Macaca mulatta: one gene and its partner. The protein of the gene in region 1 purifies or fractionates together with the protein of each later gene. This does not show direct contact. Links are inferred from orthologs where the notes say so. Each region holds a gene or a part of one and is shown on either strand. Other genes may lie near its edges.

Region 1 (5,229 bases):
TCTGTGGTAAACTGAGCATGGATGGATGTGGTGCCTTTATCCCTTATGAGCCAGGTTCACTCACGTGGTTTGCCTCTCCCCATCTAGCCTTCTAGGTTCCATGTTTCCCATGCCTCGGGTTATCTATGCCATGGCTGAGGATGGACTGCTATTTAAATTCTTGGCTAAGGTCAATGATAGGACCAAAACACCAATAATCGCCACACTAGCCTCGGGTGCCATTGCTGGTGAGTACCAGAACTCATTTCACATGTCAATATTTTACCAGTGGAGTCATGACTCCCTAAGGAGGTATCTTGCCTTGTTCTGGTCTGTGAGTAATCTCACCTGGTCTTTTTAACTCCTGGGTTTCATACTTGGAGCCTGGTTCATTGCAAGCTGACTGACCTTTTGACAAAAGACAGAGGATGGGAGAGAATTTTCGAACAGCTTGCACTCTGGTTTTCATCTCATTGGGCAGAGCTTAGAACACACAGTATTCCCCCAAAACCCTTTCCTCCCATTTCTGGACATTTCCCTGAGTAGTCAAGGGCAGGCTGACACCTTCCTGCATGACACAGGCCAAGGGAGACCTCGCCAGCACCTGGAAATTCGGCATCCATTTCTGAATTCTCTGGAAAATAAGTGTCCCTTATGAAATGTGCTGCCTCTTCCCCAGAGAGTATCAAGGGTGCTGCTGATGAAGCCGCTTGCCGCTAAGTTTATACGTAACAGCAGACCCAGTAGAGCTTCATCTTGTCAGATGAGCATCATTGCTGAGAGGATCATTTTGATGGATGACTAATCTGAGCCATGTGGGTGTTCCAGGGCCGTAGATGATGGAAAGGAGAACCCAAAAGGAAGCTCGCGTGCACACTGTACCTGTGGTTTTATGTCTCCTTCTTTCGCGGTTGCATTTCATAGCCCGGAAAGGCAGACGCCAGCCCACTGTACAGATGTAGAAGTGGAGGCCCAGGGAGGTGAAGTGAGGATGTGCACCCAGGACGGTGGAGCGGCCTTGTGATTCCAGGATTGTTTTCATGCCAAAGTAGCCAAGCTCCTTCCAGGGTCTGAGCAGAGCAGTGGGTCTTTTTGGCAAATTGGGGCATGTGATATCAGTCATAGTTTCTAACACAGCAACTTGTCAAGTAGCCATTGGTAAGGCCCTTGACCTTCTTAAATGAATGAATTATTCACTAAGTTTTATTAGCATTCATGCCTTTAGCAAACTGTGCTTAGTTTTGTGGATTAATATTATGTAATAAAACAAACCTATTTTTAAATTATGAAACTTTTTTTTTATGTGATTCTATGTTCTTGAGAGTGACTACAGTGGTCAGATTGAGAGGCACTATACACCAGAATGTGACCAGTATATTTACAGGATTAAGGATTTGGAAATAGTCATTGTTTTCTCAGTCTTTACCCGGAATTTGATCATGTTCAGGACTGGCCTTAATTTCCTTCCCCTGCTGATAGAGGGAGATCAAATCATGCTCTTTGAAGGGACTGTGAAGTACGTGCCATTCACAAAATCCAGGATTTACCCTTTTCATTTGGTGGGAGTGGTAAATAAGTATTTGATTTTCTAAAATCACCTCACATGGAAGAAATTAGTCTCAAGTTTCCCATGAGTAGGAGCATCGGCATCTGTGGCATGCACAGTTGGGTGCTGTTCTGATTATCCAAAAGGCCCTCCCTCATTGCTCTTTAATTTTATGTTTTATTCTCCATTTAAATTTGTTTTAGTTGCAGTGATCTAGAGGGGCTTGAGAGATATTTGTGGAAAAATAATGGTTTTGTGTTTATATTTTAGCTTGTGTTGATTGCATGTGTTTTGAAAATATCCCAAAGCAGATCTAGCCAAGTTGTTTTTTAATGAGTACTTGACATACACACCCACATGCATAGACATGCATACTCTCCCAAAACTCACAAAAGATGTTCAAATAAGGGTGCAGGTTTTCATTCATTTTAAAGGCCAGGGGCACGGTGATAGGGGCTGATACTATATTGTTTAAGAACAGGTCTTCAGATTTCTTCCATGTGAGTGACTTCACATGTGAAGAACTCTGCTCTCCTGCTCGCCTGCCTGGGTTAGGACCCCCTGTGATTCCCCCCAGAGCACCAGACCTGCCCTTCTTTATCATCCAGCACTGTTGCCCACTGATGCCTGTGTCTTGGTGGGGTACACTCGGAAGGCTGGGGCCTGTGGTCTGCCCTGTTCAATAGTGAGTGCCTAGAACCCAGTGATGGGCACATTCTCACCAGAGCTGGATGGATGGAAGATGGGTAGATGGATACATGCTGAATGGATGGACGGGTGGATGGGATGGATGAATGGATGGATGGATAGATGGATGGATGAGATGGATGGAAGATGGGTAGATGGATAGATGCTGAATGGATGGACGGGTGGATGGGATGGATGGATGGATAGATAGATGGATGAGATGGATGGAAGATGGGTAGATGGATAGATGCTGAATGGATGGACGGGTGGATGGGATGGATGAATGGATGGATGGATAGATAGATGGATGGAAGATGGGCAGATGGATGAGATGGATTGATGGATGGTGAGTGGATGAATGAAAGATGGGTGGATAGATGGATTGATGGAGAATGGATGGATCGATGGGATGGATGCACATGAGTCTGTGAATCAGCATGGTCTAGAGGAAGACACACAGGACTCAGAGTCATAAGAACCTAGTTCACATCCTTATACCTATGCTTATGAGCTGTGTGATCTTAGATAAGTCTCCTAACCTGTGTGAATGTTAACATCTGTAATGTAAGGATGGCTTACAAAGTTGCCATTAAAATCACAAGAGCGAAGGTATTCTCTATACAAATGTTAATGATTATTACTGTCTATTGACTGTGTCTGTGATTTAATCACAAGCTTAAAGGGAAGCTTGACTTTAATCAAGCTTAAAGTGGGAGTAAAAGCAGCCCCCTTCGCTGCCCTGGATGGTAGGTGGTGGTGGTCCTGGTTGTCTGTGCATGCAGATAGCCATCCACAGATCCTGGTGTCTGTCTCTTCCCAGCTGTGATGGCCTTCCTCTTTGACCTGAAGGACTTGGTGGACCTCATGTCCATTGGCACTCTCCTGGCTTACTCGTTGGTGGCTGCCTGTGTGTTGGTCTTACGGTATGTATGGCTTTTTGGGGTTTCATGACAGAATGCAGATGCACCTGGTAGCCTTTTCACAGTTCCGCTATGGTTTATGTGATGAATGAAACTTTTAGGTTGGTGATGGCTCCAATGGGAGCTGCCAAGGAGAGGGGAGGACCTGGGTTGAGAGCCCAGTTAGGAGGACGTCCTTGGCAAGAGTTGGGTGGCCCCTCACCCCCCTCTATCGTGTGCCCTCATTTTTATGGCTAGATGTTGGGTGGATAGAAATAGATTCTCGGCCCAACTATTAGGCCAGGATCCTGGGATCAGAATTTTTGAAGACTGATTGCAACTTGGTTCAGATTCTTGGGACAGAGAGGATTGAGGGCTGCCCTGGTAGGAGTTAGGGAAACCCAAGGCCTGTGAAACCCAGGTCAGCGTAATGCTTCTGAAGCTTCGTTGCACTCTGGCTGGAGGAATGAATCCCATTACGTGGCATGGGGTGCCCTAGGTTGATGTTCAGGGACACTGTGGAGTCGGCTTGTTGTGGCCTGGTTGGGGCCAGGCAAGCCTCTCGCAGTCGCAGTAAAGCTGCTTTGGGCCTGGGCTTGGTGCCTCGGTGTTCTCACCTGCCCCAGCGCCCACTCCCAAAGCGCATCCCTGGGCAGCTGGCATCCTGAGAACCGGTGCTCATGGAGACACTCAGCACTGGTCTGCCCTCAAGAGCCTGCTCCTTTCTTTTCAGGGATTCCCACCTGCCAGGCCATTGATTGCATCTCCAAGGTGCTCAGCAGCCGATGCACATAAAGCCCGAGCTGAGCCTCAGCAGAAGCTCTGTAGAATCAGCTAAGACTATTGGGGACCCCTTATTCTTCCCAACAGGCCCAACGCTAGAAGATTCTCTGAGGTCTCCCACTTTCTTAATTGACTGAGTGGTGCTGCACAAGCGAATCCGTACAAAAATGGTTAATATCTTTATACTCCCTCTTAGAATTGATCATATGCAAAATAATTCATACAGCACTCTGCTTTTCAAAGCTGGTGGAAAAGATGTGCACTCTGTTCACTTTGGGTGGGAAGATAAGGCACCTCATTCAGAACGGATGCTCCACTGGCAGGTAACTCATGTCTTGGAAATCATGCTGCAGGCTCGGCCCTCCGACCAGCCGCACAGAATTACTTACTCCGAGGTACTTGGAGTTTTAAAATAAATTGATCCAATTAAGGCACGCAAACAGAATTTCTCAAATCCATCAGCCTGCAGCCGCATTTCTCTGGCTCTCTGTGCCAAATAGGATCCTGGCGTTACTGCTTTCTATTTCTCTCCTTCCTTTTTGCTCCCTACAGCAGTAATTTTGTGGGAAGTGGCCTAATATCTTTAGCATCTGAGGGCCACTGCCACTTCTCAGAGCAAGAGAGATCTCTCAGGGTATTCCTCTGGGCTGCTCATGGTGGAGGTCATGTCACCCCGAAGCAGAGACCGTGGGGGATGTTCCCCAGAAGCAACAGTGGGAGGTGGTGGTCCCGGTCTCTCCTCGTCTGTCTACAACGCAGCATCTGACTATATCCTTCCCATTTTATACCTTGTGTCCCGGGCAGCTAACTTTGGAGGCTTATTGAGAACTTGAGTTGGTGCATGTCCTTTTGCTTGAAGCGGATGATGGTGGTCACACAATACCTTTCTTTCCAGGTATCAGCCAGAGCAACCTAACCTGGTATACCAGATGGCCAGTACTTCTGACGAGTTAGATCAAGCAGACCAAAATGAGCTGGCCAGCAGCAATGATTCCCAGCTGGGCTTTTTACCAGAGGCAGAGCTGTTCTCTCTGAAAACCATACTCTCGCCCAAAAACATGGAGCCTTCCAAAATCTCCGGGCTCATTGTGAACATTTCAACCAGCCTCATAGGTAAGAGCTAGCCCTTCCCTGGGGCCTTGCTTGTTGGCATTGCATGGTGTCTAGGCAGTGGAGCTAGAGTTGGGGGAAGGTGCCAGAGAAGATGAGCATCTGTCTCGCTCCTAGACTGGGACATAGTTGCTCTGTGCTAACTGAAGTTGATGCCTTCGGAAATGGAGCCTCTCTCGCCACAAGTTGAGGGGAGAGCAGCGGATGCCAGTGGGAAATTGAGAA
Region 2 (5,675 bases), on another chromosome or scaffold:
ACCTCAGGTGATCCACCCACCTCAGCCTCCCAAAGTGCTGGGATTACAAGTGTGAGCCACTGCACCTGGCCTATTTTTATTTTTAATAGAGACAGGGTTGACCCGCACGGTGGCTCATGCTTGTAATCTCAGCACTTTGGGAGGCTGAGGTAGGCAGATCACCTGAGGTCGGAGTTCAAGACCAGCCTGGCCAACATGGTGAAACCCCATCTCTACTAAAAATACAAAAATTAACTGGGTGCAGTGGTGGGTGCCTGTAGTCCCAGCTACTTGGGAGGCTGAAGCAGGAGAATGGCTTGAACTCAGGAGGCGGAGGCTGCAGTGAGCAGAGATGGCACCACTGCACTCCAGCCTGGGTGACAGAGTGAGACCTTGTCTCAAAAAAAAAAAAACAGAGAGAGATGGGGTCTCGCAATGTTGCCCAGGCTGGTCTCAAACGCCTGGGCTCAACCAATCCTCCCACCTCAGCCTCCAAAGTGCTGGGATCACAGGTGTGAGCCAAGGTGCACGGCCAGCCCTCTCTGATCTTGCTTCCTCTTACTGTTCCCTCCCTCTGCCCATCCACATTGGTCTCCTTACAGCCCTCCCTAGACAAAGCACACTCTCAGCTTAAACCTTTGCATTCACTTCTCATTCTACCTAGAATGCCCATTCCCCGCAAACACCTTTAAGTCTTTTGTTCAGATGTCACCTTCTGAATGAAGCTTCCTCCACTTGCTTTCAACTGCAACGCTACCCTCCTCCAGCATGCTCAGTCCCTCTTCCGCTGCTCTTTTTTCCTTAATGCTTATTATGTTCTAAATAATTCACTTATTTATTATGGTGATTGTCTACACCAGAAGGGAAGTTCCATGAGGATAGGGATCATTGATTCACTGCTGTACCCTAAACAGTTCCAAAAAGGTCTGGCACACAGTAGGCACCCAATATGTAACTGCTGAATGCTTGCTGAATGCCAACCTTGCTGCCTACACCACAGTTCCTATGCCTAGAGATGAACATGCTGCCTGGGCGAAACAGGTGCAACAGGCCCACATGGGCCCTCGACCACTCATGCCAATCACCACCAGAGGCTTCCCCAGAAACACTGGCTCTGGGGCATCTGCTCTGCCTTGCCCCTTCTCCTGAGACCTTAAATATGCTCATTCCTTGGAGTTCCTTTTCCAGAGATACATCTGCTCTCCTGGTTCCAGCTGCACCCTTCCAAGATGCCCAAGCTGTTTCATCTTCAATCTGGGGTCTTTGCTGAGCCCTGGGCTCAACTACTCCAACCCTGACCTCTTGGTATCCTCCTCACTGGGGACACAAAGAGGGCCAGTCAGATCACTGCAAATCTCCTTACTAAGATATCACCCCAGGGGCCGTGCACGGTGGCTCATGCCTGTAATCATAGCACTTTGGGAGGCCAAAGCAGGTGGATCACTTGAGGACTTGAGGTCAGGAGTTCAAGACCAGCCTGGCCAACATGGTGAAACCTCATTTCTACCAAAAATATAAAAAACTAGCCAGGTGTGGTGGTGTACACCTGTAATCCCAGCTACTTGTGAGGCTGAGGGAGGATTATCGCTTGAAGGAGGTGGAGGTTGCAGTCAGCCAAGACTGTGCCACTGTACTCCAGCCTGGGCGACAGAGAGAGACTCCATCTCAAAAAAATAATAATAATTTTTAAAAAAAAGATATTACACCAGGGGAGTTCCTCTTCAGTGTCGCCCCAGGGAAGTTCCACTTCCTGACTTCTTGAATTCCACCTGTGGGACTAAGGATGTCCCTGTCACACAGATAGCAAACCTGCCAGTCAATTTGTGACTTCTCACTCTCCTTCCCTGGGCAGCGCCATTAGCCACCAGATCCCACGTGAGTAATGTCTTTATCCCCTATTGAACCCTAACTCCTCATGTTGACTCCTAGAAAACACGTGTCCCAGCTGGGCGCAGTGGCTCACGCCTGTAATTCCAGCACTTTGGGAGGCCAAGGCAGGAGGGTCACCTGAGGTCAGGAGTTCGAGACCAGCCTGGCCAACATGGGGAAACCCCGTCTCTACTAAAAATACAAAAATTAACTCGGCATGGTGGTGTCCGCCTGTAATCCCAGCTATTCAGGAGGCTGAGGCAAAAAGAAAAGAAAACGTGTCCCACAGTCAAGCCTAGGTCTTGTCTGGGGTCAATAAGTAACTTCTTATTGAATGGAAGAAAATAAAGCAGGGTGTTATAACCGGACTGAGCATCAGGAGACCTGGTTTCCTGACCTTGAGCAAGTTCTTTCTCTCTCTGAGCTCAGGTTCCCCACTTGGAAAAATCATCCAATTGGACTCCATGACATCTACAGGCCCTTCCTTCATACATCTGTCATCTAATACTTCATGAAACATTTGCTGAAATGTCATTTCTGAGAAAAAAAACCCACCTGGGTTTTTCTCATTCTTGTGTTGATGGAGTTATAGTTCTCATCAGCTTCCTCCTTCTGGGGCTCTATGGCTGTGGGAAGACACAGGGGTATTGGGGGTACTTGTCTCCATAGGATTTTTAGGGAAATATAATTTATCATAAAATGACTAAGGCTGAGCCTCCAAGAGGAGAAAGTAAGTTTATTTTTCTTTGCATTACATCACTTGAGTTCCCGTAGGAATGCAGAGGCCACCTAACAAAACCCCATCTCCCTGCCCAAAGAATGCCCAGTGGGCAGTGATAACTGTGTAAGTAAATGGTTTCATTGTAAATAAAAGAACCTGAGAGACTGCCTTGTGCTGTGGAGAGTACAATGGCCTGGAGGCCAGAAGACAGAGATGCTAGAACCAGGCCTGCTGTGTGACCTGGATATATCACTGGCTTCTCTGGGCCACACACTCCCCAGATATACCAACAACAGGGCAGGATCAGAGGGAAGGATCTGCCTGAGGTCCCAGTAGCTCACCCTTCAGCTGCAGGCGGATCTCCCTCCCCAGCTGTTTGATCTCGTCGCGCAGGTTCTGCAGCTCCTGCTTCATGCCTGAATAAGAGAAGGCCACGACTCCCAAACAGCAGCCCCCACCTCAACAAACCACCCTGGCCACCACCTGCGTGGAACTACAACCCCCACAATCCCTGGGGCGGAGCATGCGCTATGCAGCCGGGGTTTCACTCACTCTCCTCAGGAAGGGGCGTGGCCAGGATGGTGACCTGCTGTTTCTCCAACTCCTGGACTTTATTCCCCAGCTTGACAATAGTCTGCCGAATTGTCCGGACCTGGGGAGGGTGACCGAGAGGGCTGAAAGAGATATGGGGTACTCCAGACCACGCTGCTCCTCGGGTCCTCCTACCCCCTCGCGAATCCAGGCCAAGACTCCATCCCCTTACCTTCTGGAAGAACTCCTCGTCCGGGCTCCCCAGCCGTGCCGTGCCCGGGTGCACCACCAGCGCGACTCGCTCCTTGTCCTCTTCGTCCGAGCTGTCATCCCCCTGCCAGGCCCGGAGTCATTGGCACCACTGTTTCGCTGCGGCTGTCACCCCGCAGGACCCACAGGCTTCCGGGACTTTCCTTCCTGGCCATCAGCCACCCCTCCCTACCCCGAAGACCAGGAGTCCTGCGTTCCAGTTCGTCCGCGCGCCCCCATCCCCGCTGCCCTGGCGTCTCACCTGCCTCAGCTCGTGGGTCCTGTCCCGCATGGCGGCCTGAGCTCTCCCTCCCCGGCGTCAGACCGGGAGGCCGGCAAACTTGGAATACCCGTACCCCACTCACACTCTGACACTCCCCTCCCTCCCCCTGTGGACCCCAACACCCCCACGAGCCACCAGAGCCTCCGTCCCTTGCACCGCCCACAGTCAATGGGAAGGCGCCGACCCCGGGGACCCCCCAAGGTTCCACAGGTTGGAATTCCCTTTTCTTCCCCCCTCCAGCTCCCGCAGCCTCAGCCCCGCCCCTCCGTGATAAATTCGGGGCATGCGCATATGGTCGCGTCTCTTCCTCGCCCGAGGCGCGGAAGGTGGAGTCGGAAGTTGTTGCGCCCCGAGCGGAAGCGGAGCTGCGTGGACGCGAGAACTGGCTACCGTCACCGGAACCGTTGCATCTTCCAACGGAAATCTGGTTGCCAAAAGGGGTAGGAATACGTCATTTGTACGTAATCTGAGGCACCCGCATCTCACATCACCCCATGGTGCCCCCACCGCGTCACGTGACCAACCCGGTCCCAAACTCGTGGACCGCAGAATGTGACGCTGTGACTGTCACGTGTCCCGGCTCGGTCAGCGCCGTCTCTGGGACGCTGTTTTCATCACGACGTCCCCGGCACTCCGACCACCGAACGACGCCCACACGGCCCCCGCGAGGTGGGGAGGGGCGCGCCCACCACTCCCAGAGGCCTTTCGAGGCAGTGGGTGGTAGGACCCTTGCTGACTTCGCCTTTATTGCTTTCGGGTCCAGGGGCGTGGGCGGACTGACGACTTAGCATTTGGGGCTGTCAGCATCATGGGACCTTGAAAATCGGGAAATAATAGGATCCGAGTCGTCAGCGTCAGAAAATTGCAGGGTTGTGTGGGCAGGGAATCTAGGGGTGGAAATTGACCTCAGCCAAGGCAGAAACCTCTTCTTCCGCATCCTCCTGGCGCAGCCTCTGACAGGTGGGCAGCCAGCCGGCGCCCTCCTTGAACACTACAGCCCGGCTTCACTCACCACCTTGTGGGCTGTCAGACCATGTCAGGGCAGCTCAGGCTAAGAAAAGTGTCTCTGCACGCTGCCTTCCCTGCCACTCACACCCCCCAGACCCTGCCTTGCATCTGAGGCAGGTAATGACTTTGTTCTTAACTGAATCTGGGGAGTTCCTAGCTCAGTACCAAGCACATTACGGGCCCTCTATAAATACTTGTGGACAGAATCTTAGCCTTTCATGTATCTGAGGATGAAGACCCTGGTTCCTTGGCCTTCTTTAGGCTTCAGTCTTTCTGACTGTGACACTTCTCTAATCCTGGCTATCGAGATATTCACTCATTTTTTATTTTTAAAAATTTTTACAAGATGGGGTCTCACTATGTTGTCCAAGCTGGTCTCTAACTCCTGGGCTCAAGCAATCCTCCTGCCTCAGCCTCCCAAACTGCTGGGATTACAGGCATGCACCACCATGCACAGAACATTCATTTAATGGATATTTTTGGGCACATACTATGGGCCAAACACTGTTCTAGGGCTGGAGATACATCAAGGACTAATAGATAAAAATTCCTGCACTCGTGGAACTTAAATTCTCTAGAAGGAGTCCCCAAGGTCATTTAGTAAGTCTCAGCATAGCTGGGAATGAATAACGGGTCTCCTGGACCCCAGGGCTCTGTCCAGGAAGCTTCTGTGAAGGTACAAGCAAGGAAAGGAATGGACCCTTTCTGCTATGCCCTGGTCAGGAAACCTAGATTCCTGGGACTGGGTTGCTATGGACTTCTGGAAGTTGCTTCCTGTCTCTTAAGTGTCGATCTCCCTCTGCACAGTGGGTAACTTGGGGGGATGGGGAGATCATCTTTATGGGTATGGGCTGCTCTAAACTTCAGTGATGATGAGGTTGGAAACTGTCAAGTGCTGTCTGATTCTATGTGAGGATTTTTGGCTCTTCTCTTCCTGTTAAAACCCAGCTCTAGCAGGGTGCGGTGGCCTATGCCTGCAATCCCAGCACTTTGGGAGGCAGAGGCAGGCAGATCACCTGAGGCCAGGAGTTGGAG

Evidence for each region. The genes of interacting proteins can lie anywhere in the genome.
Region 2: the proteins of SLC7A1 (region 1) and STX4 purify together in Homo sapiens (co-immunoprecipitation; 3 studies listed by BioGRID and IntAct, counting the BioPlex papers as one, with this or other methods). This does not show direct contact. The link is inferred for Macaca mulatta from reciprocal best matches to the Homo sapiens genes SLC7A1 and STX4.

The regions. Positions count from the first base shown.
Region 1 is NC_133422.1:9,415,074-9,420,302, reverse strand, and holds part of SLC7A1 (high affinity cationic amino acid transporter 1), read left to right. Parts: intron 1-87; coding exon 88-227; intron 228-3,032; coding exon 3,033-3,135; coding exon of another isoform or gene 3,136-3,139; intron 3,140-4,789; coding exon 4,790-5,007; intron 5,008-5,229. UniProt on the Homo sapiens protein: High-affinity, low capacity permease involved in the transport of the cationic amino acids (arginine, lysine and ornithine) in non-hepatic tissues.
Region 2 is NC_133425.1:29,670,074-29,675,748, reverse strand, and holds the start of STX4 (syntaxin-4), read right to left. Parts: upstream 3,911-5,675; 5' UTR 3,642-3,910; coding exon 3,612-3,641; intron 3,435-3,611; coding exon 3,333-3,434; intron 3,244-3,332; coding exon of another isoform or gene 3,222-3,243; coding exon 3,122-3,221; intron 2,986-3,121; coding exon 2,911-2,985; intron 2,475-2,910; coding exon 2,404-2,474; intron 1-2,403. Other genes in the region: uncharacterized protein LOC144337996, read left to right, coding at 3,916-4,072, 4,182-4,301. UniProt on the Homo sapiens protein: Plasma membrane t-SNARE that mediates docking of transport vesicles. Necessary for the translocation of SLC2A4 from intracellular vesicles to the plasma membrane.